Linked DNA regions of Astyanax mexicanus. Each later gene encodes a partner of the first gene's protein in a complex. Links are inferred from orthologs where the notes say so. Each region holds a gene or a part of one and is shown in the gene's direction. Other genes may lie near its edges. The genes, in order: gnat1 and pde6gb.

Region 1 (15,894 bases):
CGCTGGGCTACTACAGGACATGTTTCCAGGGCGAAGGTCACGTGGATCTGGATCCAGACGCATGCTAGCAATGTCCGTGCTACGAATAGCATTTCCGTGTCTGCTGTCCTCAGAGCAGCCGAAGGAAAAAAGACGATTTACTGCTCCTCAAAGCATGCTGATCATCACACAGATCTAAAAAAAAAACAAAGAAATAAAGCAGAAAGGAGAGATGAGTTTCATAAACAAGCATCATTACCATAAAACAGGAAATAGTAGAAGGATATCGAATAAAACACACTCAAAAGTGTCATGATTCCAGAATACAATTTGGTTCCATAGGAGACATTAGTGCTTGTCAAAAAATGAGAATTTCATTGGAAAGTTATAAAACTTTATTTCAGTAATTTAGTTTAAAATGTGGTTAACACTTTACTTGGATGGTCCATTTTATGGCCTTGTTGATGCTCAACTGACATTCAACTAACATTCAACTGAATCTATATTAAATGCAACTTAAACTATGTTGAATGTAAAGGATTTAAAATAGAACATAACCCTACACTTAACCCTAACCTTAACCCTTAATCAACCCTAAAATCATTAATCAACCACAAAATTACAAAATTACAAAATGTGAAACTCCTATATTATTTAGATGTATTACACACAGAGTGATCTATTTTAAGTGTTTATTTATTTTATTGTTGATGATTATGGCTTACAGCCAATAAAAAAAATCTGTATTTTAGAAAATTAGAATAATATATAAGACCAAATGATACTTTTGTCAGTGTGGGCAGAGTGCCAAGTCCTGCTGGAAAATGAAATCCATAATCCATCTCCATAAAAGTTTCAAAAGTTGTCAGTAGCAGAGGGAAGCATGACGTGCTGTAAAAAATTGTGGGAAAACAAAACTGCACTGACTTTAGACTTGATAATAAAACACAGTGGATCAACACCAGCAGATACACTAGTATATGTAAGTGTGAAAAACCTGTACATCAAATGGAGGTTCTTCCATTGCATTTCCTTAAGAATCTGCTGTATCACCATTATTTTAAAGAGTGCACTGGAATGTAGAGTATTTTTGAATTTAGATTTTTATATATATATATACATACATATATTATTTATTTTTTTTAATTCAGTGTTTTGTCATATTGCCAAGAGTATCGTTATCGCAGAAATATCGCCCACCCCTATTTGATATACTAACCAGGATTCAGGTATTATAAAGTTACTCTCAGCAGCAACAGAAACTAATTCACACTTTCTACATATTTTACACTGAAACCAGGGAGTTACCCAAAACACAGAATAGAGGTGACCCCCACCCAAGTGAAGATAGCCTGAGGGGGGATACTAACATTCAATGGAGCGTGAAGTGGGTTAGACACGCCTAGTATTCATATGGATCAGGCCAGGAGCCAATAGGAAAGTTCTGAGATTTACTCAACTGTAGGTCGAGTACAGGTCACCGAAAGTCACTAAATCAACACAGCTGACGCAGATTTACTCAGGTAGACTTCTGAGAAACATTACTGCACAAACCTCAGGTTCCAGATATCAGCAAACGTTACAAGAACGTTTAGCAATGTTTAAAAAAAGGTTTCAGAAAAGTTACAGAAATAATGTTCCAGGAATATTCTTATAATAACTTGCGACTTAATATTAGTTTGCATAACAATGGTGGTCATTACAACATTTCTTACAAAACATTCCCAGCTACATCCAGTGTTGGGAAGGTTACTTTTAAAATGTAATCCCTTACAGATTACTGATTACATCACTCAAAATGTAATTTGTAACGTAATCAGTTACATTACTTCAAGTGAGTAACGTAATCTGATTACTTTGGATTACTTTAAATATTGTCATTTTTTTAAGCCTGAATGAATGTAGCAACCACATATTGCATATTATTATTTTATTTTTCTTTCCAGTTAACAAATAGATAAACAAATAAAACAGCCTTTTCAATCACTCTATAAAAATACTTATGAAACCATTTCATCAAACAATTTTATAAAACACTTCTATAAATTGATAAAACCATTTAAAACCAAACAATGTAACAACAACTGTAAGCTATCTATTTGCAGGTTTGCCTCCAGTGTTAATTTTGACAACAAATTTTGATTTAGTCTTAGTCATAGTCTTGTGACGAAAATAGTATTTAGTTTTAGTCACAATTTAGTCATCTGAAATGTTTTTAGTTTTAGTCGACTTAATGTCATAAGAATATAGTCGACTAAAATTACAGTAAATTTAGTCGACTAAAATGTAAAGGGTGTAAATGTAAATGATTTTTCATCAGTTTCCTTGAATTATTAACTATACACTTATATGAAATGAAACGTTTAATAACCACTTGAGTAATATTGTTAATGTTTGAAAGTGAAATATATTTATATATGATTTAATGTATATTATTATTATTATTGTAGGTGTGTGACTATACATATGTTACATTTAAAAATTTGCTCTAGAAATCAGGTCATAAAACAACTGAATAGTTAAATTAAAGTTTAAACAGAGCTGTAGATGCAAAAACAACTTTTAAAGGATCTAGTTTTATCTCCAGCACATCTACTGGAGCTACAGTCTATAAATGAGATCAAAACAAACATTCACACACTGTCCTGTAGAGATGCTCTCAGGATGTACTGAGAGACTTCATGAGTTAAAGTGAGAAACTTATGAGAAAGTGCTGTAAGGAACTTTACACAGACTTTTGGGTTCATAGATTCACTTATTTTATTGTTTTATTTTCGTTGTATTATTGAGTTCCTTTCTGACCTGCTGCTGCTTTAACACTAGCTATATCTTTCCCACTGTGAGACTAAACAGATGATCTGATCTTAATGAGTGAGTTCTGTATCAGTTCTGTGTTTTAGTGCACTGCTGAGTTAAACACCATCAGCTCATGAAATAACATCAGCATTAAAACGCGGATCTCTGCATGGAGATCTGTGTGACTCTGGTCTGCAGAAGCTGAAAGATTAGTGGTGTTTTTACCGGAGATGGAGTCTCTGTTTACACATTATCTTGTTTTTCGCGACGTCAAAGGAGAAATATATCGCCTCTCCCCTCTCTCTCTCTCTTCCTGCTGAACACTGTCGAGTTAACTTCCAGTCGAGCTCCGTAACGACAGGTTAATTCCCGGGTTTGTAACTGAGCGCGCGGCGCCTCCGCTAAAGTAGCAGTGATTGGATCTCTTCCTAACTGGTCCCTACCTTTCACAGAACTATATCAGTCTGATTGGATTTCGTCCCTGCCAAACATTTTCGTCTCGTTTTTATTCGTTGACCAAAATGTCAGTTAATTTCGTCTCGTTGTGTGTGCGGAGCCGCTGTCTGCCCCTCCTCCCTGTATGTGTGTGTGTGCAGCGAGACGGGAGGAGGGGCAGACAGTTCCCTGTCATATCAGAGCGATTTCACCCCAAAATGTTATTTGCGTTTTGTCAGTGTTGGATTGGAAGAGCAAAAATAGGAAAGTACCGCAATGTAACCCTTTTATTTTAGCAGAGTAACTGTAATCTGATTACCACTTACTGAAGCAGTAACTGTAACGGATTACAGTTACTCATAATTTGTAATCTGATTACGTAACGCCGTTACATGTAATCCGTTACTTCCCAACACTGGCTACATCAATACTAACATTATAGAAATATACTTAAAACTAAAAAAAAAACATTAACATTAGTGATGTTGCAGCTACATTGCCAGACTATTTAAAAATGTTAAATAAATATATACTAAGAATATCCAGAAAACTTGAGAAAATAAGAAATGGCTGAAATAACAAAAAAAGATGCAGAGCTTTCAGAACTCAAATAATGCAAAGAAAACAAGTTCATATTCATAAAGTTTTAAGAGTTCAGAAATCAATATTTGGTGGAATAAACCTGTTTTTTAATCACAGTTTTCATACATCTTGTCATCATGTTCTCCTCCACCAGTCTTACACACTGCTTTTGGATAACTTTATGCTGCTTTACTCCTGGTGCAAAAATTCAATCAGTTCAGTTTGGTTTGATGGTTTGTGATCATCAAAATGATATAATTACTATTTCTTAATTATTATTTAGTCAGTTGTAATTATTGTTTTTAAATTAATATAAGCATTAAAAAATGTAAAAATACATTTTAAAAGCTTTTGCAGATGAGTTGTAGATTTTAAAATAGAAAAGGGAAGTTGCAGAGTTTTACAGCTTTTGTCTACATGCTGTAAAACTAATTTTAGCTAGAAAAAACCTAAATCAATTGAGACAAAAACACTATGAAAAGAGTACATGAGTGCAAACAGTGTGGTGTTATATATCAAGTATTCATCTTAAAATTACAGAGATTCTTTTTTTATTTTAGATAGGTCAGTGTAGGTTTTTTTTTTAGTTCCTATACATAAATAAACCATACTATATAACTGTATGTTTAGTTTAACCACTTTTTTGCATCACTGAGGTTATCAAATTATTAAGATATAAGATCAGTAGGAAGCAAAAATCTGCAAAAATATATATTTTTGTGCTTCTTTGTTTTTTATTTTTATATTTAAAAATTATATAATTACTTGTTTCTTAATTATCATTTTAGTTCGTTTTAATTGTTTTTCAATTAATTTAAGCATTAAATATATTAAGCATTTCAAAAGGTTTTTGCAGATAAGTTGTAGATTTTTTCAAAATAAAGGAATTTATAATAGAAAAGGGAAGCTGAAGAGCAGAGTAAATTTAGCAGCAGTGACGGGGTTAATGCTGCTTTTGCCTACATGCTGTAAAACTAATATGAGTTAAGAATTGAGACAGCTAATGCAGTTTATTAACTCAATAATTTGATGATTGCAAACGATTACATATCAAGTGTTATGACAAAGCTGAGCACATTCATTCATACACATAAACTGTTTTTATCTTAAAATTACAGAGATTTTTATTTTTATTTTAAGTAGAACAGTAATTAAAAGTCATAGTTTTTTAATAGTCAATATATTTTTTTGTTCTTATACATAAATAAACCATGTTATTTAACTGTATGTTGGGTTTAACCACTTTTTTAACATAAGCAAACACAACATACAGTGTTTTTATCCTTAAAAAACAAGGAATCATGTTTTAGTACAGTTCAGAATGCGTGGGAAAAATCAGGATATTATCTTGGCTGCTCTCTGTAAGAGGAATAAATATGATGTATTGATTTTTCCACTAATGGATCTGAGGACGTTTTCATTACAGGACTCTGAGTGTCCACTTCCTGTAATCACTGCCAAGACCATTACATCAGAATTAAAACAACACAGAGCCCAGCTGTCCTTACACTGTAAAAACCTAATAAAAATAGTTTATTTCTATAATAAAGGTAAATATTAGCTGAGTATTACACCGGATATTAGCCTAGCTTTACCTGTACAGAGGCCTATATGTTGTTACCTGAACTGCAGGTTATGATCAACTGATTAACTTTAGATGGTTTAAATGCTTTAAAAAGGCGAGTAAATATATGTAAAGAAGATAAACTAGGCTAAAAACTAAAACTAAACTGTATTTTATCAGGTTTTTAACCTTCATATGAAGCGTAAACGACTTTAACACACTTTAAATAAAGGTAAAGCAGCTCAGGTGAGAGCATGCAGGTGAAAGAGCATGAAGTTTACCTGAGGAACACCTCTCTGACAGGAGCGTCGAGGTCTTTACTCACTAATTCCACCGCAGTCTTCAGTAAAACGCAGAGAAATCCTCCTGTTTCTGCGAGAAAAGCTCTGAAACTCGCTGAAACTCCGCGGTTCTGTTTCTTTAAGCCTCAGAAGCTCGAGCTCGGTTCTGGTCCACGCCTTGACTGATCTTCATGAGGAAGTGCTGCAGCTGATTGCACAACCTCAGCTCCAGCCCGGAGTCTCGCGCTGAGAAAAAATACTGATCTACACAATTACAGCTTTTAAAAACCACAGGAAATCACTTTACTGCACAACTGAGCTTCATTACCTGCGGTCCTCCCTCAGGTGTGATATAAACAGAAATAAAGTCACCAGTTAATTTTTTTTTACCTGACCGTTTGATGTGGAAGCCCATTCTTAAAATTATTATTTAGTAAACTGCTATCTCAATATTTTGAGAAGGTAAGTCATTATTTTTAGATAGTAAGTCATTATTTTGAGATACTATCTCAATATTAAAATAAAATAATTATTAATGAATTAATATATTATTAATTAATATATTTCTAGATTTTCAGACCTTTTTTATCTTGTAAAAAGTAGGTTAGATTATACCATCAGATTTTTATTACAAAATGCATAAATTGTAAAATCAGAAAACTAAATAGATTTTTTTTTTTTCATGTACAGTATATCTGATCGTGAGGAGCAGAAATTAAAAACTTAAAAATTGGCAAAATAATTGAAAACCCAAATTCATCTTTAATATAATTTTAATATAATACAATTATCTATTTTCAAAATAGAAAAATCTGCCCATCCCAATTTCAATTTCAGAAAAAATGAAAAAAAAAAATATATATATTTTAATTTTAATTTGTTATTTTTATTTATCTTGTTTTTTTGACCTTTCATTTTTTTTCTCTCAAAATGTTTTCTCTATTAATAATCAGATATTTTAGATTCTTAAAAGTAGCACCATTGCTTAGATAACACTTTTAAGTATTTAGGTTTGTTTAATTCTTTTAAGTTACTACATGATTCCGTATATGTGTTTATATATATATATATATATATATATATATATATATATATATATATATATATATATATATATATATATATATATATATATATAAAGATACAAGAGAGTAAAACTAAAAGGATAAACAAAGATATTAAACAGAGTATATGTACAATATGTATATTAATATACAGACACACACACCAATGCCTGTATTTATACACAAAGGTAGGCCATAATAAATAAGGGAAGGCTTTTTTCTTAATTTTTATTTTTAAAAAAATTCTGGGTTTTTTTCTTACAAAAAAGAAAAAAGTAGGTTGGATTATACCATCTGTATTTTGTTACAAGATGCAAAAAATAGAAATTCCAGCAGTTCTCTAGAAATTAGAAATATAAGCTGGGTATTACATCGGATATAAGTCTACCTTTAGAGACAGACGGAGGCCTACCTAAGCTGAGCTATATTAGCTACTATGATTTAAAAGGGCAAGTAAAGAAGATAAACTAGATATTTTTGCATGTTTTAAAACCTTTATATGTTTTTTTTTTTTACTTGTTTGTCTATTTAGTGCAGTAAATAATAAATAGCATTTTATCTGTTTTCCCATTGTCTTGTTTTTCATGTCTACTCCTTAGCTAAATAAAGAAAACATTTATTTTAAGAAATAAAATGAATGTCAAGCGCTACCACTATGATCGGGAGAATGCTGGTTCGAATCCCAGTCATGCAGCTTGCCATCAGCTGCTGGAGCCTGGAGAGAGAACAATTGGTCTTGCTCTCTCTGGGTGGGTACAGTAGATGGAGCTCTTTCTTTCCCCTCATCACTCCTAGGGTGATGTGGATCAGAACAAGGCTGCGTCTGTGAGCTGATGTATCAGAATCGAGTCGCTGCACTTTCCTCCGAGCGTTAGCGCTGTGATGCTACTCGGTAATGCTACATCATCAGCAGCAGTTCAAAAAGAGGCGGAGTCTGACTTCACATGTGGAACAACTGGCCAGATAAATTGTATTGTAATGTATTTTAAAAATGCATTTAGAAAGAAATGATGTTAAGTCGATCTGAAAAAAATTAAGAACTTTTTTTTATTCCGCCCCAGGAATGAAAGAGCAAGAGTTTCCTCTGTTGTACAGGATAAGTTAATCAGAGTTACCAGCCTCAGAAACCGCAAGTTAACAAGAGTATTTTGGTTTGTTTAACACTTTTAAGTTACTACATGCTTTCTTATGTGTTTCATCATAATATCTAAATCAATTTCACTATTAATTTACTATAAGAACGGTTCTGCAGTGTATTTGTAATTTCAGGCAGGAATGGAAACATAAGCGTCTCTGGTTTGAATCCAGATTATGTTAAAGATCTGAACACAGTTCTGCTCTTTCATGTATATGGATTAATGGAAGGCTGTAAACAGTGAAAAGGCATAATTCACACGTGGGCACGGCATTCAGGCACAGCCCTCACTGCCTCATGGAATAATTAATTCTTGTCTTATATCGTCACTGACGCACACTCTCACCAATCCGTGTCATTCCAAAACACACACACACACTCTCTCACACACATACACACACTTACACACAAACACACGATATCCGGTATGTGTCACTCCTTAGATTGAGGTCAGTAAGCTCTCCAAAGCAAAACTCCAAATCTTTTAAGAGCTTCGTATCACATGATGGATACAACACAAACTGTGCTAAACAGCAGCAGAGGAATATTTTACGCTGCAATTTTTTTAACCCTCCTATTATGTTTGGGGTCAATTTGACCCCAATCAAATGTTTTACACCTTTAAATAAGCAGTTAATATCATTTTGTCCACTTCAAATTCAGTGACTTTTCCTAATTTAATGGGGACAACTGGGTAAATATTAAATTAATGTGATGTAATGTGAATGTTTTGTGTGTGCTGAACACAGGCTGTTTTAGCTGTATAAAACATAGAAATATAGAAATATCAACATTTTACACACATTTGTGTTGAATAATGTTTGAACTTTAAACTTTAGAGGCCTAAAATAACATGATTATATCTGTATTAGTGCAAGAACCACTGAAAGTTCATTGCAACAGGGGGGCGGGGAAAACATAATTCTCACGAAAAGTTGATATTTCTGTATCTGTGGAGGAATATATTGTTCCTACAAACATATTGATAGTAGATTTTTTTTAAAAAAACATAAACTTGGGTAAAAGTGTTATTATTATATAATAATTTTCCGTAGTTTAAAATTGCTGGGGTCAAATTGACCCCAAACATAAAAGATGTTAGTAAATTTGAATGCAACAGGAGTGTTCAGGCAACAATTTTAGTATTTTTGACTTATCGCATTTTATATTAAAATGTGACCGAAATAACTCCATCAAAATTAGCTATACCTTGGTGGATGTTCATTCATAAGGGTTTCATTATACTTACGAGAGTTCACAGTATCCTGGGTGTAAAAAACGAATATAAAAAAAATAGTTTAAAAGGTTAAATGAATTGCTAACAAAGTCTAAAAAATGGGTTTTGTGTTGCATTGAGTGACCCTGCTTTTCTTACCTGGCATAACAGTGTGATTACATTTTTTGTGAGTGGGAGGGACTTGATGGGGTTTAAAGTGGGGGATTTTGGGAAGGAAGGAAGAAGGAGGAAGGAAAAGAGAACAAAAAAATACATTTTGGGCTGGATCCCTTTATTTGGTTTTGTACATTTGTTTAGTCTATTATTCCTGTGCTTTTATGCTTAATGTTGTTAACGCTTTTCTTTTTGTTATTCATTGGATTTGTCTTGTTTCTCTACCTTCCTGTTTTTTTTTCCTCTTCTCTAACTTTCTCAATAAAAATAAATTTGTGCTACATATATATATATATATGCTATTTATATATATACTAAAATATGCTATACTGCCCTTTTAATAGGATTACCATGACCAGACCAAGAAGTTTGGCATATCCAGTATACAGCTTTAAGTCAAGGGAACAGCCTAGTGCAAAATCCCAAATTTTAGCATTATAGTCATTATGGCCTTTAGTAAAATGTGTTTTGGGGAGGGGGGGGGGGGGGGGGGGGTAGTGCACTCTAGGACTCTGTGGGCGTGGCCTAAGCTTTTCTTTTTTTTAATGTATTTATTTTTTCTCTTTACATTACTTTTACTTTTATACTTTAAATAGTTTTGAAACCAGTACTTTTTTAAACACTTTTACTTAAAGAGTAAAAAGCTTGACTTGATACTTCTACAACTTCTACGGAAGTATTTTAAGTATTTTAAGTACCTTAGTATCTATACTTGCACTTGAATAATGAGATATAATAATGGCGCTCCTCACCAGGCCTCCTCATCTCTCTAAGGCTCGCCCTTTTAATGTGGCTGAGAGGACTCGCCTGAGATTAGACCCTTCTGCTGACCACAGCATCTTCTACCTAAATCTGAGGTCACCTGTGTCCCCTCCCGCCCAGTCGCCCTCCGTCCTTGTCCTTCATTGGTCACGCTAGCCCAGGTGGTCAACCGAAATCCCAAATCCTCCTAAGACTCGAAACAACTGGTTGACTCACCTTATCCAGTTGAAGCTAGAGCTGCTGCTGTGGTTCACGGTTCCTGGCCGGTGCTTGCGGCGATCGAGCGGTTTCAGTTCCAGGCTTCTTCACTCTTGATCCAGAGGTGATATGGGGGCTGGAGCGAGCGCCGAGGAGAAACACTCCAGGGAGCTGGAGAAGAAGCTCAAGGAGGACGCCGACAAAGATGCCAGGACCGTCAAGCTGCTGCTACTGGGTAAAAACACCATTGGGCCCACGATTGAGCCTTGAGTAACTCCGTAGATTTAAACATGAACAGGGCAAGAGCTTTAATCATGGGCGGATCTACCGGGGTGGCATAGGGGGGCAGCTGCCACCTAAAAAGGCTAAACACCCTAAAAGAAAGCCTTGCCACCCATGCTGCCACCTCAGAATTAAAAGATAAAAATATTTCATTATGGCCAGTTTAACCTTTTATGAGAGAGAATATCTAAAGCCAGACTGCAGTAAATTATAACGAAATAAATTAATTGTGAAAGCACGGTGCTAGTATAACTGCGATGCTGATTATTTTGAGCTTATAAAACATCTATAAAAATCTTATTTTGCTCACTATAACATGTATTGTTTGCTAAAGGTCAAGTGATGTCAGGTACTTAGTGACGCATTACTGTAATCTGTCCGTTTCTCCAGTAATGATAAATCTAACACATTAGTATGTCCAATCCAGTAATCAGATTAAAGTTACTTGTTTAAGAAAGTAACTGTGCATTAATATTTTTATAATTTTCCTCAGTACATTTCTCTGTTTGAGTTTGTAAATGGTAGCCCGTGGCCATATATATATATATATATATATATATATATATATATATATATATATATATATATATATGCCACCCCAGAAATATTTTTCTAGATCTGCCCCTGGCTCTAATGCAAAAATCATGCCTTTTTTGGAGTGTAGAATATTCATATTTCAAAGATTGAACATTTATGGTTTGCTGTTGGTCTTGGTTCTTGGTAACATCCTGATGAATTTGGATTAAATGTATATTGAATGAAGATCATGTTGAATGAACCACTGTTATAATAGTAGTATAGTGAAAGCAATCTTAACTGAAATTCTTAAATCCTTTGAATTCAATGTAAAAAAAAACTCTATTTTTGTTTGCATGTAAATATTAAGAAGAAGAAGAATCATCTGGCCAAACGTTTGATTGGTTTATATTGGTTCATTATAATATTAAATGAAGATTACCTAATTATAAGAAAACGTTTGTCTCCATCTCTCATAACTGCATTTTTAAACAGCTTGACTAAACTAGTCTTAGATCTGGGTCAGCGTCCTCGCATACATCAGCTTTAACAGGCTTAGGGGCTAAAGTAATGAACCCCAAGCCTCTTAATGCGATCCTCCTCAAGATATGCACACAGGACAGGAGGATGATTTCAGGAGAACATACCAAACATACTGGAGAGGGGAGGAGAGGAGCGGGTGGAGTGGAGGGGAATGGAATTCTCCACACTGGAAGAAAGCCAGCATTAGTGTAGATTTTGTTATGGGATTGTGTTATTCACAATTCTTAATCTAATTGAATGAATTTGCCAGTTTTAAATCAACAATAATAATCTTGATTTACAATTAACATGCATAATTTACCACTGACAAATGTTGTGTTGTGTCTTTACTGTTGGAATACTGAAAACAGATATCTTAACAGTGTAAAAGAAAGCATATAAAATGAAATAAAACAAAAAATTAGCTAATTTAGAAGCATGAAGAGCTGTTGGCTTGGCATTGTTTCTACATAAATGCTTTTTCAAGTCAAGTCAAGTATTTTTATTGTCAATACTGCATATATACAGGACATACAGAGAATTGAAATTACCTTACTCTCCTTCACAATGTTACAGCAAAAAAACCTAAAGCGATAGTATTTAAAATATATAAATAACATAAGAATTCAATAGACACTATTGCACAAATCACAAATATAGACATAGACGAGACAAGAGACACAAGAGACACAAGATAAACGTGCAAAAGTGATGGGGGGGATTAAAGAGGTAAAGACAGTACCAGTATAAACAGAACCCATATAAACATTAGTGCAAATATAGAGGTAATAAAGTTTTGTTAATATAGGTTAGCTGTAGCTAACCCTGGGACGTATAATTAAGAGCATTAAAAGTATGTTTAAATTAGGTGAAGAATACTAAAAGTACATTTTCTATGTAATATATTTTATGAAAATACACATTAAATATACTCTGTACATTAAATGTACTCTATTTCTCTGCATTTACATAAAATGTATCTTTATGCTATATACTTTAAGTTATATATGTGTTGATTGAAAATATATATGTAGTGGAGCTTATACTTATACTTGTCCCTGTGGTGGACTGTATGTGGATGAAACCTAAAAAAAAATATCAGTCCATTTAATTTTATTTCAATTAACTTAAATTGACAAATTTCCTTCATGATCTATATTTATATATTTATCCATCTATTCAAACATTTCAATCAGGGAATTTGTAATGATATATTTGGTACAGTGCTGCCACCTGCTGCCATAAAGAAATGGCATCGCTTATAAAATAAACATTAAATACTTGACACTAATTGAATCATGCTGAATTATTTATTAAATGTATTACATATATTAAGTTATACATTTACGTGACAATATCAAAACATATCTCAAGTTTTAAGTTACGAATGGCAAATACAGTATATATTTCAACTACATAACTACAGCCTAGCACACATACAGTGAGTATGAATTTTAGTAAATACAATAAAATACGCAATATGAATTTTTAAACTATATATTTGTGGGTTTGCAATTGAATAGAATTAATTGAACTTAATTGGTTTGTATAATCTATTTGTCAGGTGCTGGAGAGTCAGGAAAAAGCACCATTGTCAAACAGATGAAGTAAGTGTTATTTTATTCAACTTTAAACCTTTAATGTTTCAAGTAAAACTTTATTGGATGGTTGATTTTATGGCCTCGTTGATGCTCAAATGAATGTATATTAAATGCAACTTAACCCTACACCCACACCATTAACCAACCCTAAAATCTAACCCTACACCTAACTCTAACCATCAATCAACCCTAAAATTTAACCCTACACTTAACCCTAACCTTAACCCTTAATTCACCATAAAATCTAACCCTACACCTTACCCTAACCTTAACCCGTAATCAACCCTAAAATCTAACCCTACACCTAACCCTAACCTTAACCCTTAATCAACCCTAAAATCTAACCCTACACCTAACCCTAACCTTAACCCTTAATCAACCCTAAAATCTAACCCTACACCTAACTCTAACCATCAATCAACCCTAAAATTTAACCCTACACTTAACCCTAAACTTAACCCTTAATCAACCCTAAAATCAAACCCTACACCTAACCCTAACCTTAACCCTTAATCAACCCTAAAATCTAACCGTACACCTAACCCTAACCTTAACCTTAATCAACCCTAAAATCTAACCCTACACCTACACCTAACCCTAACCTTAACCCTTAATCAACCCTAAAATCAAACCCTACACCTAACCCTAACCTTAACCCTTAATCAACCCTAAAATATAACCCTACACCTAACCCTAACCTTAACCCTTAATCAACCCTGAAGTCTAACCCTACACTTAACCTTAACCTTAACCATCAATCAACCCTAAAATCTAACCCTGCACCTAACCCTAACCTTAACCCTTAATCAACCATAAAATCTAACCCTACACCTAACCCTAACCTTAACCCTTAATCAACCCTAAAGTCTAACCCTACACTTAACCTTAACCTTAACCATCAATCAACCCTAAAATCTAACCCTACACTTAACCTTAACCATCAATCAACCCTAAAATCTAACCCTACACCTAACCCTAACCTTTACCCTTAATCAACCCTAAAATCTAACCCTACACCTAACCCTAACCCTAACCCTTAATCAACCCTAAAGTCTAACCCTACACTTAACCTTAACCTTAACCATCAATCAACCCTAAAATCTAACCCTGCACCTAACCCTAACCTTAACCTTTAATCAACCCTAAAATCTAACCCTACACTTAACCCTAACCTTAACCTTTAATCAACCCTAAAATCTAACCCTACATCTTACCCTAACCTTAACCCTTAATCAACCCTAAAATCTAACCCTACATCTTACCCTAACCTTAACCCTTAATCAACCCTAAAATCTAACCCTACATCTTACCCTAACCTTAACCCTTAATCAACCCTAAAATCTAACCCTACACCTAACCCTAACCTTAACCCTTAATTCACCATAAAATCTAACCCTACACCTAACCCTAACCTAAACTTTAAATCTAACTCTAAACCCTAAAATCCCTAACTCTAAAATGTTAAGATTAGAGTTTGGGTTAAAGTTAGATGTTGGGTTTCATTTAATGGAGAATCATGTATTTTTACCTTTTAGTTCAATTGCATTTAATAGACATGCAGTTGAATGTTAGTTGAGCTTCAATGAGGCCATCCAATTGACCATCCAATAAAGTGTTACCATTATTTAAATAAATTACTGTATTAGCACCAGACATTTAATTTAAACATGTTTTTCTACCACAGAATTATCCACAAAGATGGTTACTCCCTAGAAGAGTGCTTGGAGTTCATTACCATCATCTACAGCAACACCCTGCAGTCTATTATGGCCATCGTGAAGGCCATGACTACTCTCAACATCGGCTACGGAGACGCCGCCCAACAGGTACTGATATAATAAGAGACCAATTAAAAATGATGAGTTTCTTTGATTTTACCAAATTGAAAAAAACTCTGGAATATAATCAAGAGGAAGATGGATGATCACAAACCATCAAACCACCAAACTGAACTGCTTGAATTTTTGCACCAGGAGTAAAGCAGCATAAAGTTATCCAAAAGCAGTGTGTAAGACTGGTGGAGGAGAACATGATGCCAAGATGCATAAAAACTGTGATTAAAAAACAGGGTTATTCCACTAAATATTGATTTCTGAACTCTTAAAACTTTAAGAATATGAACTTGCATTAACTTACACTCTTTGCATTATTTGAGGTCTGAAAACATCTTTTTTGGTATTTTAGCCATTTCTCATTTTCTGCAAATAAATGCTCTAAATGTTCATTTTACTTAAATATAAACCTATAAATAGCTAAATCAGAGAAACTGATTCAGAAACTGAAGTGATTATTTTTTCCAGAGCTCATTTTGAAGCAATGAATCAGTTTCTCTGATTTTGATATTTATAGTTTTATGTTTGAGTAAAATGAACATTGTTGTTTTATTCTATAAACTACAAACAACATTTCTCCCAAATTCCAAATAAAAATAATCTCATTTAGAGCATTTATTTGCAGAAAATGAGAAATGGCTGAAATAACAAAGAGAGTTCAGAAATCAATATTTGGTGGAATAACCCTGGTGGTTTTTAATCACAGTTTTTTTCATGCATTTTGGCATCATGTTCTCCTCCACCAGTCTTACACACTGCTTTTGGATAACTTTATGCCACTTTTATGCTCTGCATCTTTTTTTGTTATTTCAGTCATTTCTCCTTTTCTGCTATAAATAAATGCTCTAAATGACAGTATTTGTATGTGGAATTTGGGAGAAATGTTGTCTGTAGTTTACAGAATAAAACATTAATGTTAATTTTACTCAAACATAAACCAGTAGAATGGATTTTT
Region 2 (15,727 bases), on another chromosome or scaffold:
CATCACATTAAGAAAATGCCAAGCTAAAGCCCATTAACTCCTTCAATTTTCTCAAGGTAATGTCAATTTAATTTGATTGTGTGTGCTGATGCTACCCAGCTACCAAAATTTAAATTAGTAGCTTACATTAGCTACCCAGCTAACACATTAGACCCTGTTCTATTGGTATAAACCTTACATAGCTATGTACAAAATTCCAGCTTTCATCAAGATTAGTTACAGCTTTTAATCACAAAATAATTATCCAAACATCTATAAGTCTAAAGCAAGACAGTTTAGCTAATTAGAAGCTTACTAGCTAGCAGAGTTAACACATGGCTTGTATAAATTAATGTTAGTTTGACTCACCAGATATAGTAAAAGTTAAAGACAGAAGTCCAATGTCTGGGTGAAATCAGGCCTCGTCTTGGTTGTAGAAAGTCTGGATTCAGTTGAAGAAATGTGGGGTTTGTCAAAAAGCAAGAAAGCAAGAGATATCTCTGATCCAGTCACCTCAGTGGCATTGATCAAATCTGAGAGAGAATTGTGAATTCCAGACAGATGTACAGGAGAAAGGGGGGCTTTCCCCCCTTTGTTATGTCTGGGTCTCTCTGTGTTTTTATTTAAAAAATACACTCAGCCAATCACCAGCAAGTGTAGTGTTTTTTTTTTTTTTTCAAAATCAACTGTCCAAGTTCATGCACCTGCAGCACCCCAAACTGACTGACCTTCACAATAAATCAGATTATGAATTTTAAGTACTTAGATACAGTAATTTCCTATTACTACTAAAGTCAACTAATAAGAAACCATTTAGCTAGCTAGCCAACAAATATATTAAGAACATATAAAGAGAAATTATTTTTTCACACAATTTTTTTACTGCTTCACAAAACATATTTTCTGTGCTTTAATTTTACTATGAGTATTTCATCATCTACTGTTGTCTACTGTGTATAGTCACATTCTAATTTTTGCATTAAATGTATGCAATTTACAGAAAAACACACGTGCTGGTGACCATGGTGTTTCTATGTGGTTTCTAAGGTGTTGCTAGGTAGATGCAAAGTTTTGCTATGGTGTTTCTATGGTATCTGGGGTGGTTGCTAAGGTGTTGCTAAGGTGTAGCTAGGTGGTTGCTAAGGCTTTGCTAGGTGGTTGCTGAGGTGTTGCTATGGTATCTGGGGTGGTTGCTAAGGTGTTGCTAAGGCGTCGCTAGGTGGTTGCTAAGGTATTGCTATGGCATCCGGGGTGGTTGCTAAGGTGTTGCTAAGGCGTTGCTAGGTGGTTGCTAGGGTGTTGCTAGGCGGTTGCTAAGGTGTTGCTATGGTATCCGTGGGGGTTGCTATGGTGTTGCTAAGTGGTTGCTAAGGTGTTGCTAGGTGGTTGCTAAGGTGTTGCTATGGTATCCAGAGTGGTTGCTAAGGTGTTGCTAGGTGGTTGCTAGTGTGTTGCTAGGCGGTTGCTAAGGTGTTGCTATGGTATCCGGGGTGGTTGCTAAGGTGTTGCTAGGTGGTTGCTATGGTGTTGCTAGGTGGTTGCTAAGGTGTTGCTATGGTATCCGGGGTGGTTGCTAAGGTGTTGCTAGGTGGTTGCTAGGTGGTTGCTAAGGTGTTGCTTGGCGGTTGCTAAGGTGTTGCTATGGTATCCGGGGTGGTTGCTAAGGTGTTGCTAGATGGTTGCTAGGTGGTTGCTAGGGTGTTGCTAGGTGGTTGCTATGGTATCCGGGGTGGTTGCTAAGGTGTTGCTAGGTGGTTGCTAGGCGGTTGCTAAGGTGTTGCTATGGTATCCGGGGTGGTTGCTAAGGTGTTGCTAGGTGGTTGCTATGGTGTTGCTAGGTGGTTGCTAAGGTGTTGCTATGGTATCCGGGGTGGTTGCTAAGGTGTTGCTAGGTGGTTGCTAAGGTGTTGCTTGGCGGTTGCTAAGGTGTTGCTATGGTATCCGGGGTGGTTGCTAAGGTGTTGCTAGATGGTTGCTAGGTGGTTGCTAGGGTGTTGCTAGGTGGTTGCTATGGTATCCGGGGTGGTTGCTAAGGTGTTGCTAGGTGGTTGCTAGGCGGTTGCTAAGGTGTTGCTATGGTATCCGGGGTGGTTGCTAAGGTGTTGCTAGGGTGTTGCTAGGTGGTTGCTAAGGTGTTGCTATGGTATCCGGGGTGGTTGCTAAGGTGTTGTTAGGTGGTTGCTAGGTGGTTGCTAGGGTGTTGCTAGGCGGTTGCTAAGGTGTTGCTATGGTATCCGGGGTGGTTGCTAAGGTGTTGCTAGGTGGTTGCTAGGGTGTTGCTAGGCGGTTGCTAAGGTGTTGCTATGGTATCCGGGGTGGTTGCTAAGGTGTTGCTAGGTGGTTGCTAGGGTGTTGCTAAGGTATCCGGGGTGGTTGCTAAGGTGTTGCTAGGTGGTTGCTAGGTGGTTGCTAAGGTGTTGCTAGGTGGTTGCTAAGGTGTTGCTATGGTATCCGGGGTGGTTGCTATGGTGTTGTTAAGTGGTTGGTAGGTCATTCCTAAACAGTTGCTAGGTGGTTGCTAAGGTGTTGCTATGGTATCTGTGGTGGTTGCTATGGTGTTTCTAGGTGGTTGCTAGGTGATGTATATGCATAAATTAGATTAAATGGTGTTTGCACGTTGCTACGCAACGTGCAAATACATCAATCAGCTATGCACGCTAGGTTGCTTTGGCCGTTCGGGGGTGTCCAAACTTTTGACCCGCGGCTCAATAAGGTGTTGCTAGGTGGTTGCTAGGTGGTTGCTAAGGTGTTGCTAGGTGGTTGCTAAGGTTTTGCTATTGTATCCGGGGTGGTTGCTATGGTGTTGCTAAGTGGTTGGTAGGTCACTCCTAAGCAGTTGCTAGGTGGTTGCTAAGGTGTTGCTATGGTATCTGTGGTGGTTGCTATGGTGTTTCTAGGTGGTTGCTAGGTGATGTATATGCATAAATTAGATTAAATGGTGTTTGCACGTTGCTACGCAACGTGCAAATACATCAATCAGCTATGCACGCTAGGTTGCTTTGGCCGTTCGGGGGTGTCCAAACTTTTGACCCGCGGCTCAATAAGGTGTTGCTAGGTGGTTGCTAGGTGGTTGCTAAGGTGTTGCTAGGTGGTTGCTAAGGTTTTGCTATTGTATCCGGGGTGGTTGCTATGGTGTTGCTAAGTGGTTGGTAGGTCACTCCTAAGCAGTTGCTAGGTGGTTGCTAAGGTGTTGCTATGGTATCTGTGGTGGTTGCTATGGTGTTTCTAGGTGGTTGCTAGGTGATGTATATGCATAAATTAGATTAAATGGTGTTTGCACGTTGCTACGCAACGTGCAAATACATCAATCAGCTATGCACGCTAGGTTGCTTTGGCCGTTCGGGGGTGTCCAAACTTTTGACCCGCGGCTCAATAAGGTGTTGCTAGGTGGTTGCTAAGGTGTTGCTAGGTGGTTGCTAAGGTGTTGCTATTGTATCCGGGGTGGTTGCTATGGTGTTGCTAAGTGGTTGGTAGGTCACTCCTAAGCAGTTGCTAGGTGGTTGCTAAGGTGTTGCTATGGTATCTGTGGTGGTTGCTATGGTGTTTCTAGGTGGTTGCTAGGTGATGTATATGCATAAATTAGATTAAATGGTGTTTGCACGTTGCTACGCAACGTGCAAATACATCAATCAGCTATGCACGCTAGGTTGCTTTGGCCGTTCGGGGGTGTCCAAACTTTTGACCCGTGGCTCCATTACACACAGTACTCGGGGGCCGGGGTGTCCAAACTTTTGACCCGTGGCTCCATTACACACAGTACTGGGGCTCTGGGGTGTCCAAACTTTTGACCTAATGCTGTTTTATCCCATAGCTGCTCCATTACACACAGTACTGGAGTTCTAGCTACCTGTCCTTCGATCTAGCTGCCGTCCTCCGATTGGCCCCATTCATTCCAATGGGGCCACTTCGTACGACAATCGTACGAAATCCGTACGTCGTAACTTTTCGTAACGCATATTTTCGGAAAGAGCTCAATAAGTTCTACAGGTCCTCAATTGGTTTCATCTTCGTATCTCAAAAATTGCGACGTCCACGGGCGTGCAAAGTTCTGCCCATTCATTTTCAATGGGCAAAAAAACGCGTACTTACGAAGTTTTTACGAAAAACGTAAGTCCAATCGGAAAGCTGTATACAAGCCCACCATTCCCGATATGGACGCACGTTTTCTCTTTTGAACGAAGTCGATATTTCGAAAACTGCGGCACTAGTTAACCGGACAAAAAACAGGTGGAACTAGATTGCAGTTCCTACAGAAACTGCGAGTGTGATTGCAGAGCTGACCGGGGTACCCAAACTTTTGACCCTTGGCTCCATTACACACAGTACTGGGGCTCTGGGGTGTCCAAACTTTTGACCCGTGGCTCCATTACACAGTACTGGGGCTCTGGGGTGTCCAAACTTTTGACCCGTGACTCCATTACACACAGTACTGGGGCTCTGGGGTGTCCAAACTTTTGACCCGTGGCTCCATTACACACAGTACTGGGGCTCTGGGGTGTCCAAACTTTTGACCCGTGGCTCCATTACACACAGTACTGGGGCACTGGGGTGTCCAAACTTTTGACCCGTGGCTCCATTACACACAGTACTGGGGCTCTGGGGTGTCCAAACTTTTGACCCGTGGCTCCATTACACACAGTACTGGGGGGCTGGGGTGTCCAAACTTTTGACCCGTGGCTCCATTACACACAGTACTGGGGGGCCGGGGTGTCCAAACTTTTGACCTAATGCTGTTTTATCCCATAGCTGCTCCATTACACACAGTGCTGGAGTTCTAGCTACCTGTCCTTCGATCTAGCTGCCGGCCTCCGATTTGCCCCATTCATTCCAATGGGGCCACTTCGTACGACAATCGTACGAAATCCGTACGTCGTAACTTTTCGTAACGCATATTTTCGGAAAGAGCTCAATAAGTTCTACAGGTCCTCAATTGGTTTCATCTTCGTATTTCAAAAATTGCGACGTCCACGGGCGTGCAAAGTTCTGCCCATTCATTTTCAATGGGCAAAAAAACGCGTACTTACGAAGTTTTTACGAAAAACGTAAGTCCGATCGGAAAGCTGTATACAAGCCCACCATTCCCGATATGGACGCACGTTTTCTATTTTGAACGAAGTCGATATTTCGAAAACTGCGGCACTAGTTAACCGGACAAAAAACAGGTGGAATAATAATAATAACTAGATTGCAGTTCCTACAGAAACTGCGAGTGTGATTGCAGTGCTGGCTGGTATCTGCTATGGTGTTGCTAAGGTGTTGCTATGGTATCCGGGGTGGTTGCTAAGGTGTTGCTAGGTGGTTGCTAAGGTGTTGCTAGGCGGTTGCTAAGGTGTTGCTATGGTATCCGGGGTGGTTGCTAAGGTGTTGCTAGGTGGTTGCTAGGTGGTTGCTAGGTGGTTGCTAGGGTGTTGCTAGGTGGTTGCTAAGGTGTTGCTATGGTATCCGGGGTGGTTGCTAAGGTGTTGCTAGGTGGTTGCTAGGGTGTTGCTAGGCGGTTGCTAAGGTGTTGCTATGGTATCCGGGGTGGTTGCTAAGGTGTTGCTAGGTGGTTGCTAGGTGGTTGCTAGGGTGTTGCTAGGCGGTTGCTAAGGTGTTGCTATGGTATCCGGGGTGGTTGCTAAGGTGTTGCTAGGTGGTTGCTAGGTGGTTGCTAGGGTGTTGCTAGGCGGTTGCTAAGGTGTTGCTATAGTATCCGGGGTGGTTGCTAAGGTGTTGCTAGGTGGTTGCTAGGGTGTTGCTAGGCGGTTGCTAAGGTGTTGCTATGGTATCCGGGGTGGTTGCTAAGGTGTTGCTAGGTGGTTGCTAGGTGGTTGCTAGGGTGTTGCTAGGCGGTTGCTAAGGTGTTGCTATGGTATCCGGGGTGGTTGCTAAGGTGTTGCTAGGTGGTTGCTAGGTGGTTGCTAGGCGGTTGCTAAGGTGTTGCTATGGTATCCGGGGTGGTTGCTAAGGTGTTGCTAGGTGGTTGCTAGGTGGTTGCTAGGGTGTTGCTAGGTGGTTGCTAAGGTGTTGCTATGGTATCCGGGGTGGTTGCTAAGGTGTTGCTAGGTGGTTGCTAGGTGGTTGCTAGGGTGTTGCTAGGCGGTTGCTAAGGTGTTGCTATGGTATCCGGGGTGGTTGCTAAGGTGTTGCTAGGTGGTTGCTAGGTGGTTGCTAGGGTGTTGCTAGGCGGTTGCTAGGCGGTTGCTAAGGTGTTGCTATGTGATCCGGGAAGGTTGCTAAGGTGTTGCTAGGTGGTTGCTAGGTGGTTGCTAGGGTGTTGCTAGGCGGTTGCTAAGGTGTTGCTATGGTATCCGGGGTGGTTGCTAAGGTGTTGCTAGGTGGTTGCTAGGTGGTTGCTAGGGTGTTGCTAGGCGGTTGCTAAGGTGTTGCTATGGTATCCGGGGTGGTTGCTAAGGTGTTGCTAGGTGGTTGCTAGGTGGTTGCTAGGGTGTTGCTAGGCGGTTGCTAAGGTGTTGCTATGGTATCCGGGGTGGTTGCTAAGGTGTTGCTAGGTGGTTGCTAGGTGGTTGCTAGGGTGTTGCTAGGCGGTTGCTAAGGTGTTGCTATGGTATCTGGGGTGGTTGCTAAGGTGTTGCTAGGTGGTTGCTAGGTGGTTGCTAGGGTGTTGCTATGGTATCCGGGGTGGTTGCTAAGGTGTTGCTAGGTAGTTGCTAGGTGGTTGCTAAGGTGTTGCTAGGCGGTTGCTAAGGTGTTGCTATGGTATCCGGGGTGGTTGCTAAGGTGTTGCTAGGTGGTTGCTAGGTGGTTGCTAGGTGGTTGCTAGGCGGTTGCTAGGCGGTTGCTAAGGTGTTGCTATGTGATCCGGGAAGGTTGCTAAGGTGTTGCTAGGTGGTTGCTAGGTGGTTGCTAGGGTGTTGCTAGGCGGTTGCTAAGGTGTTGCTAGGCGGTTGCTAAGGTGTTGCTATGGTATCTGGGTTGGTTGCTAAGGTGTTGCTAGGTGGTTACTAGGTGGTTGCTAAGGTGTTGCTAGGCGGTTGCTAAGGTGTTGCTACGCGGTTGCTAAGGTGTTGCTATGGTATTTGCGGTGGTTGCTAAGGTGTTGCTAGGTGGTTGCTAGGTGGTTGCTAAGGTGTTGCTAGGCGGTTGCTAAGGTGTTGCTATGGTATCCGGGGTGGTTGCTAAGGTGTTGCTAGGTGGTTGCTAGGTGGTTGCTAAGGTGTTGCTAGGCGGTTGCTAAGGTGTTGCTATGGTATCCGGGGTGGTTGCTAAGGTGTTGCTAGGTGGTTGCTAGGTGATGTATATGCATAAATTAGATTAAATGGTGTTTGCACGTTGCTACGCAACGTGCAAATACATCAATCAGCTATGCATGCTAGGTTGCTCTGGCCGTTCGGGGGTGTCCAAACTTTTGACCCGTGGCTCCATTACACACAGTACTGGGGGGGCCGGGGTGTCCAAACTTTTGAGCCGTGGCTCCATTACACACAGTACTGGGGGGCCGGGGTGTCCAAACTTTTGACCTAATGCTGTTTTATCCCATAGCTGCTCCATTACACACAGTACTGGAGTTCTAGCTACCTGTCCTTCGATCTAGCTGCCGTCCTCCGATTGGCCCCATTCATTACAATGGGGCCACTTCGTACGACAATCGTACGAAATCCGTACGTCGTAACTTTTCGTAACGCATATTTTCGGAAAGAGCTCAATAAGTTCTACAGGTCCTCAATTGGTTTCATCTTCGTATTTCAAAAATTGCGACGTCCACAGGCGTGCAAAGTTCTGCCCATTCATTTTCAATGGGCAAAAAAACGGGTACTTACGAAGTTTTTACGAAAAACGTAAGTCCGATCGGAAAGCTGTATACAAGCCCACCATTCCCGATAAGGACGCACGTTTTCTCTTTTGGACGAAGTCGATATTTCGAAAACTGCGGCACTAGTTAACCGGACAAAAAACAGGTGGAATAATAATAATAAGAAGAAGAAGAATAAGACTTAAGAAGAACAATACTGTGATTGCATTACTGCAATCACACTAATAAGAATAAGACTTAAGAAGAACAATACTGTGATTGCATTACTGCAATCACACTAATAATAATAATAAGAAGAAGAAGAATAAGACTTAAGAAGAACAATACTGTGATTGCATTACTGCAATCACACTAATAATAATAATAAGAAGAAGAAGAAGAATAAGACTTAAGAAGAACAATACTGTGATTGCATTACTGCAATCACACTAATAAGACTTAAGAAGAACAATACTGTGATTGCATTACTGCAATCACACTAATTATATAGAGTAAACTTTACCCAGCTAACAAGGAATATTTTAAAGACAGTTAGCAATGTTGTAGCAAAAGTTGCAGGAAGGTTCACCTATAATGTTACAGAAATAATGAGTGATAATGGTTTGCATCACAATGTTATTACAAAACTTTCTTACATGATGTTCCCGGCTGGACGAATACTAACATTATACAAAAACAAATAAGAGGGGTTTTACAACTTATGATCAGTTTCTCTGATTTTACTATTTATAGGTTTATGTTTGAGTAAAATGAACATTGTTGTTTTATTCTATAAACTACAGACAACATTTCTCCCAAATTACAAATAAAAATATTCTCATTTAGAGCATTTATTTACAGAAAATGAGAAATGACTGAAATAACAAAAAAGATGCAGAGCTTTCAGACCTCAAATAATACAAAGAAATCAAGTTCATATTCATTTAGAAACAACAATACTAATGTTTTAATATAATCAAGAGGAAGATGGATGATCACAAACCATCAAACCACCAAACTGAACTGCTTGAATTTTTACACCAGGAGTAAAGCAGCATAAAGTTATCCAAAAGCAGTGTGTAAGACTGGTGGAGGAGAACATGATGCAGAGATGCATGAAAAAAAACTGTGATTAAAAGCCACCAGGGTTATTCCACCAAATATTGATTATTTCTGAACTCTTAAAACTTTATGAATATGAACTTGTTTTCTTTGCATTATTTGAGGTCTATTAAGTTTGATATCTAAACCAAATTTACACTATAGAAATAATAAACAGTGAAATATAGGGGGTGGGTAGTTACATGCTGCGTCATCAAAAAATAAAATACATATTTATTAATAAAAATGTACACACACACACACACAACACACTCACATGTCCATCCTCCGCACTGATAGGGGATCAGGGGTGGGCGGTTCCCCTCTCCTAATCTGCGGTTCTGCTGAGGGTATAAAAGCTCCATCAGTACCAGAACTTCTCCCAGAGCAAGCCCAGCATACACGCCCACTCCTCCACCCACCAGAGAGACCTACACACGGGCAGCGCCCACACCACGCCACCTAACCACCAATCAGCTGGAGCCGTGAGTACAACCCCACCCACTACATCCAACAATTACTATACTGAATAATAACTACTGATATAAAACATATATATACAAATAAGGAATAGTAGGTTAAATGTAACAACTATATGAACAATTTAATAATACTCAGGACTGTATAATGCAAAATGATAAAGTAAAATTTTAAATTTATACAGCTCTGAAAAAAAAAAACTTAAAATTTGATTTTACCAAATTAAAAACCTCTGGAATATAATCAAGAGGAAGATGGATGATCACAAACCATCAAACCACCAAACTGAACTGCTTGAATTTTTACACCAGGAGTAAAGCAGCATAAAGTTATCCAAAAGCAGTGTGTAAGACTGGTGGAGGAGATTTTTTTTAGGTCTGCAAGCTCTGCAACGTCTCTGAAAGCCATTTCTCATTTTCTGTAAATAAATGCTCTAAATGAGAATATTTTTATTTGTAATTTGGGAGAAATGTTGTCTGTAGTTTATAGAATAAAACAACAATGTTCATTTTACTCAAATATAAACCTATAAATAGCAAAATCAGAGAAACTGATTCAGAAACTGAAGTGATCTTTTAATTTTCTTCCAGAGCTGTATATTGAGTATTAAGTCAGACATTCTATGGAATGTGAATCAATAAACAGAATTCTGGAACTCTAAATAAGTTTCTAGCAATCTACGAAATAATGAACTAAAATTATGTGGTAGCAAGTAAAACTCTAGAATGTTTTGTAATATGGAATAAAACAGAATTCTAGAACTCATGACATTTTGACATATGGAATAATTGGCAAAATTCTAAAATATTGACAAATAAACAGAATTCTAACTAAAATGGTAGCAAATAGGATTCTAGGATTTCTGGAATACAGAATAATAAGTGAAACAGTACACAGGACTGTAAAGTAAAATTTAAAAATGTAATTTTAAAATGCAGTAGTATGTTATTTACTGTTCACTTTGAGGCTGACTGTCGAAAATAGTTAGTATTTAGAGTGTTCTGAACAAGGCTCTGTTATTTTTTTGTAATATGGATAGTAAGTATTTGTAGAACACAGAATACAGAGTACAGAGTACAGAATGGTGAGTATGTTGTAGCATGGTGTGGCGTATACAGTAGTGGGTGATTTACTGTTCACTTTGAGGTTGACTGTTGAGAATTTTACTATATTATTATTTAGAGTGTTCTGAACACTGTTAAAGTACTATGTTCTGAACATAGTGAGTATTTTGTAGAGCGTTGTGAAGTGTAGAGTATAGATTAGTGAGTATTTTGTAATATAGTGTTGAGTATACAGTGGTGGTATAGTGAAGGTCTCGACCAAATGGAAAATGAGATAATTATAGATGGATCAGTGAGTCACGGAGCTCTGCAGATCCACGTGGATGAGGGGATTTCAGCAGATTGAAGAGTTTGGGTTCTGCTGAAGTCACTGTCAGAACCAGAACACAAATCACACTGATTAAGAACCATAACCATTTATCTGGAAAAATGGTTATGAAAAATCGTTTCCTTTACCCAGTTACGTTATTTTTTGAGAATAATATATAAAAAATGTTTTTATCTGTCTTGGAACAAATCTTTGTCTCTAAAATAACAGCTTTACAGATTTCCTCCCTGAGTGGGGATTAAATACTGTAATTAATGGTGGCAGCGTGCCAACACGCCCATCCCTGCAGCGTAGAATATATATCTACAAACAGAGTAAACAGAGTGGCCTCTAAGTTTTGACAGTATTTCATATATTAGAATTTCAGAATTTCACAGAGCAATTTATTTACATTAATCTGCATTAAAAGCAAAGTAATCAAAGTACTCCAGTAATTTCCACATGCACTGTGCAATTACACAATCTTTTCACTGAGAGCTCTAATTACTCAAATCTGTTACTCTAAGTCATTTTTGAGCATTTCTATTTTTCCAAAACATTCACACCATGCCAAAAAGTGAAAAACTGAGAAAAAATGATTTTTTTTGCATGGCAAGATGGAAAAAAAAGAGTAAAAATACATGTTTATAGTTTATAGTTTTAGAGTTGATGAAATGCTGGCTTAGGTAACGTAGGCCTAGGCCTCATATTAAGCCTTAAATGACACTTGAATGTTATGTGCTTCGTTATATTTCAATTACATTTAATTACATTACATTTCTACACAGCATCCAATGAATTTAAAAATTAAAATTAAAATAATGCCATACATTAAAGCCATAAATATATTTAAGATACAATCAATTTATTGTCATGTTGAGTGACATTGATTACTTTGCTAATTCGCCAATGACACACAAGCTATTAGGCTAAACCAAAAGTAGAAAAATGATACAGCATAAGTTAAGACTAAAGAAAAAAAATAATCTATAATCTATATATTTATGTTTAAAAGGAACTCTAGGCATTGAAAAAAATATTTAAAAAGTGTGGCTGTGTGTTCATCATTGTAAGATACTGTATGGAATATTAAATATAAAACAGAATTCTAGAAAAAACTCTGAAAAAGTAAATATGGTTCTAGAAATCGGAAAATAGAATAATTGAACAGATTTCTGGAACTATGGAATAAGAAATAAAAATTCTGGAACTCTTTGTAATATGAAATAACCAACAGTATTAAAGTTAAACTCTAATGAATAGTTAGTAAATTGGTATATTAGTGTATATTCTGTACTGAGCCGTACTGAGTGCTGGATTGTGTGATTGTCATTGAAGCAGCTCTGTTAAGGACGTTTGTTTTTGACTCAGAAGTTTTCTGTGAGCTCAGCATGTTCACTGTTGTCCTTTCACTAATGAGATTATCACGAGTCCCTTTCACCAGCTCTGGGATACGGGTTCACTTATTAACTTGAGCCCTGGATTATATAAACTGGGTCACCCCTGGCATCCATCCACCCCCCCCCCCCACTCCCCCCTCACACACACACCTCCACTAAAACACTGCTATACACCTGTGTTACTCACCTGTAAGAGGATTATGGGTAACGCTCCGCTGAACTGAGGCCATGGAGAAACAGCTTACAGGCCATATGGTACCAGTGTGATGCTAATTTTAGTTTAGCATGGCTCTGAAAACTTATTCACTTTATATTTAAATGTATCTCATAATATCCCATAATAATCCATAATACATCACAAGTTAAAGCAGCAGGTCTTACAAGGAGGGTTAGGTAATCTATATATCCTCAATAACTGTATATAAACACAGAAAGCTACAGCAGGTTAGATAATCTATATATCCTCCAAAACTGTCTATGAACACAGAAAGATACAGCAGATTAGATTATCTGTATATCCTCCATAACTGTCTATAAACACAGAAAGGTGCAGCGGGTTAGATAATCTATATATCCTCTATAACTGTATATAAACACAAAAAGCTACAGCGGGTTAGACAACCTATATATCCTAAATAACTTTATATAAACACAGAAAGCTACAGCATGTTAGATAATGTATATATCCTAAATAACTTTATATAAACATAGAAAGATACAGCAGGATAGATAATCTATATATCCTAAATAAATGTTTATAAACCAGGCTTTTATGCTTTTTTATTCTAGTAATATTAACCTCTAGTCTTTTAGTTTAGCGCTCTTATGCTAGTGGGTGGTTACCTCAGCGTGCTAACTCTAAGCTAGTCTTTTATCTTAGCGGTCGTATGCTAGTGGTGGTTACCTCAGCGTGCTAATGCTAAGCTAGTCTTTTATTTTAGCGGTCGTATGCTAGTGGTGAGTTACCTCAGCGTGCTAACTCTAAGATAGTCTTTTAGCTTAGCAGTCGTATGCTAGTGGTGGTTACCTCAGCGTGCTTATGCTAAGCTAGTCTTTTTTAGCTGGTGTGTTTCAGGTGGTAAACAGTCCGTCTGTGTGGGTGAGGGGAATGTAACTGAGGAGAAAAGTATTATTTCTTCAGTTTATTAGCGTAGAGTTTAATAATGAACTTTAACTTGGTGTTTATTGTGGTTTTGCTCTGTTAGCTACACTGCTAACGCTAGCTACACTGCACTGGGAGAGAGAATGGCTGATGAGGAGAAACTTCCTTACCTACAAAACTAATTACTACCTAAATACACTATTTATACATTACATTTATATAAATATCTGGAGATATTTAGTTAACAATTTTGTGAGTTTGGTGTAGGAGTAACAGGTATGTCCATAGCTAGAACTCTTTGCAATATGGAATCATCAACAGAATTAAAGTTAAACTCTTTGGAATAGTCAGTAAATTGGTTTATAAGTGTATGTCTCGTACTGAGTTGTATAGCTAGTTTAGCGTTATTTGGTAAAATCTTACACAGATTAAGTTGTTTCTTTTGCTGAAGAGTTGTATTTTTATAAACTATATGTTCAGCTACTAAATGAAACCACAACTGAAAGTATAATATACATAATACATTTTTTAAATGTTGAAAATTTTGATTAATTTTTTTAAATTGTGATAGAGTCAGTAATTGAATGCAGTAAGAAGAAAGTTATATTTTTTCAATGAAAAAAGATTATATTTCTGGTAATTTTACAGAATTTCTTTAGACTGTGTAAGGGACAGTTTGAGTGTTCAAATTATGTAGAAAACAAAAAATTGTCAAAAACGGAGGTACTTGTGTTTCATTGGACAGCAATGATATAAACACTGGAGAGGAGAACCTGAGTGTGGAACATCCATCGGTATCGGGCCTCAGAGGAAGGCAAAAAGATGGAACTAGGTTAGATTGGATTTATGGAGAACAGATAATATCCAACATTATCAGAGTGTTACTAATGAATATAACAGTGTAACGCGGGAACCAGACGAGGGGCGGACGTAAATGCGGGTAAGACCAGACAAATAACAAAGAAACAAATAAACAAACAGGGGAATAACGGATATAAATAGGTGCATAAACAAACAGGGAAAAAACGTGAAACAGATAATAACAAAACAGGGCGAGGAAATATATACAAGGGATAAATACGTAAATATATACAACATAAACAAAGAAACAAACAGGAACTAAACGTGACTAGAAATAACGTGACCGATAACCAAACAAGAAAACAAACTAGAAATATACAGGGAATAAACGGAGATAAATACAAAACGAAGAACTAGAGAACGTGGAAATAACTATAGCGAACGTGGCAAGACAAACAACGGGGGAAGGTGCAAAGACCGACAGCAAACGTAGACTAACAAGTACTATTTATACTAAACATGAAACAATGAACACCTGGGGAAACAGGTAACGAGGGGCGGAGCTACAAATTAGAAACACATGTGGAAAAGTACTGAGACGGGAGACACAGGGGAGCACAGGTCACGTGGGGAATGCACACAGAGACACGAGACGAGGCCAAGACGTGACAAACAGCCTAACTAAAATATGAGAACCAGAAGGTAACATAGACACGGAGGCACTGGCCAGCAAGCTACTGTACATTTAACAGTGATATTTTTTTATAGTGTATAATTTTGTATAATGTTTTTTTCTGTCACATTTTAACCCAATCACCTGTCTCTCTCTCTTTTTCTAAACAGATTTCTACATTAGCCAGAGGTTAAACTCAACCAATCAACAAAAATGACTGGTGACACCGAACACATACCACCCCCCATCCCAGTGGCAGCTCTGAATGTAGAGCAGCCCAAATCAGACATCAAATCTGCCACCCGCGTCTCGGGCGGCCCGGCTACGCCACGCAAAGGCCCGCCCAAATTCAAGCAGAGGCAGACCCGACAGTTCAAGAGCAAGCCCCCCAAAAAGGGCATCCAGGGGTGAGTACACCAACCCATCATCTCCACACAAACAAAATAAGTGCTAGAGCTACTGGAATATGTAATTAATGAGTGACGCTATAGAAGGTGAAGTTAGTTGAAGTACCATTCAATTCACAAGTTCTGTGAACAACCTTTTGCTTGTCTATTATTGAGCAATAGCAATAGATGATAATGTAAAACACAAATATGCCCATTATACATATTATTACAGCAACAGAAAAATAATAGATGTAATCACGCTATGCCAATTTTGATTGTAGTGAGGAAAAAATCAACTAATCTATTATTATGATTTAAAAAGTAGAAGCCTGTTGCAAAAATGTTTTTATATAGTCAATAATATCTGACCATATATTAATGGCTAAAAGTTCTCAAAAGTCTAGTGCATGATCATAATCATCATGAATTGCAATTGACACAGTTAAACCAAAATATAGTTTTCTTTGCATCTGTAAAATTCACTAATTTAAAAAGAACCGATAGAGGTTAATTTATAGCACTAAATAATGTAGTATACCAATAGAACTTGAACTTCTGAATGTAAAACTGTGCCTGGAGGGTAAAAACTGTCCCAAAACTGTGAATGGGTTCATTGCACTTAAAGAGTAATGAACCTTTGATAATGAAAATTATTTAATACATTGGAATTGTAATGTAAAAGTGTTTAAATATCCTACA

The links.
Region 2: the proteins of gnat1 (region 1) and pde6gb are in contact, whole or in part, in a cryo-EM structure (PDB 7JSN), measured with the Bos taurus proteins. The link is inferred for Astyanax mexicanus from reciprocal best matches to the Homo sapiens genes GNAT1 and PDE6G. Residues at the interface, in NP_851365.1 of Bos taurus: Ser140, Arg201, Arg204, Lys205, Trp207, Ile208, Phe211, Asp227, Val229, Glu235, Val236, Asn237, His240, Glu241, His244, Leu245, Ser248, Ile249, Ile281, Phe283, Glu305, Leu306, Met308; in NP_776846.1 of Bos taurus: Arg36, Gln37, Phe38, Lys39, Ser40, Lys41, Pro42, Pro43, Lys45, Leu60, Val66, Ile67, Cys68, Pro69, Trp70, Glu71, Phe73, Asn74, His75, Leu76, Glu77, Leu78.

Annotation. Positions count from the first base shown.
Region 1 is NC_064412.1:3,451,877-3,467,770, reverse strand, and holds the start of gnat1 (guanine nucleotide-binding protein G(t) subunit alpha-1), read left to right. Parts: upstream 1-10,201; 5' UTR 10,202-10,315; coding exon 10,316-10,421; intron 10,422-13,070; coding exon 13,071-13,113; intron 13,114-14,791; coding exon 14,792-14,933; intron 14,934-15,894. Other genes in the region: mst1ra (macrophage-stimulating protein receptor), read right to left, coding at 1-92. UniProt on the Homo sapiens protein: Functions as a signal transducer for the rod photoreceptor RHO. Required for normal RHO-mediated light perception by the retina.
Region 2 is NC_064422.1:46,536,914-46,552,640, forward strand, and holds the start of pde6gb (phosphodiesterase 6G, cGMP-specific, rod, gamma, paralog b), read left to right. Parts: upstream 1-9,181; 5' UTR 9,182-9,297; intron 9,298-13,905; exon of another isoform or gene 13,906-13,997; intron 13,998-14,809; 5' UTR 14,810-14,852; coding exon 14,853-15,046; intron 15,047-15,727.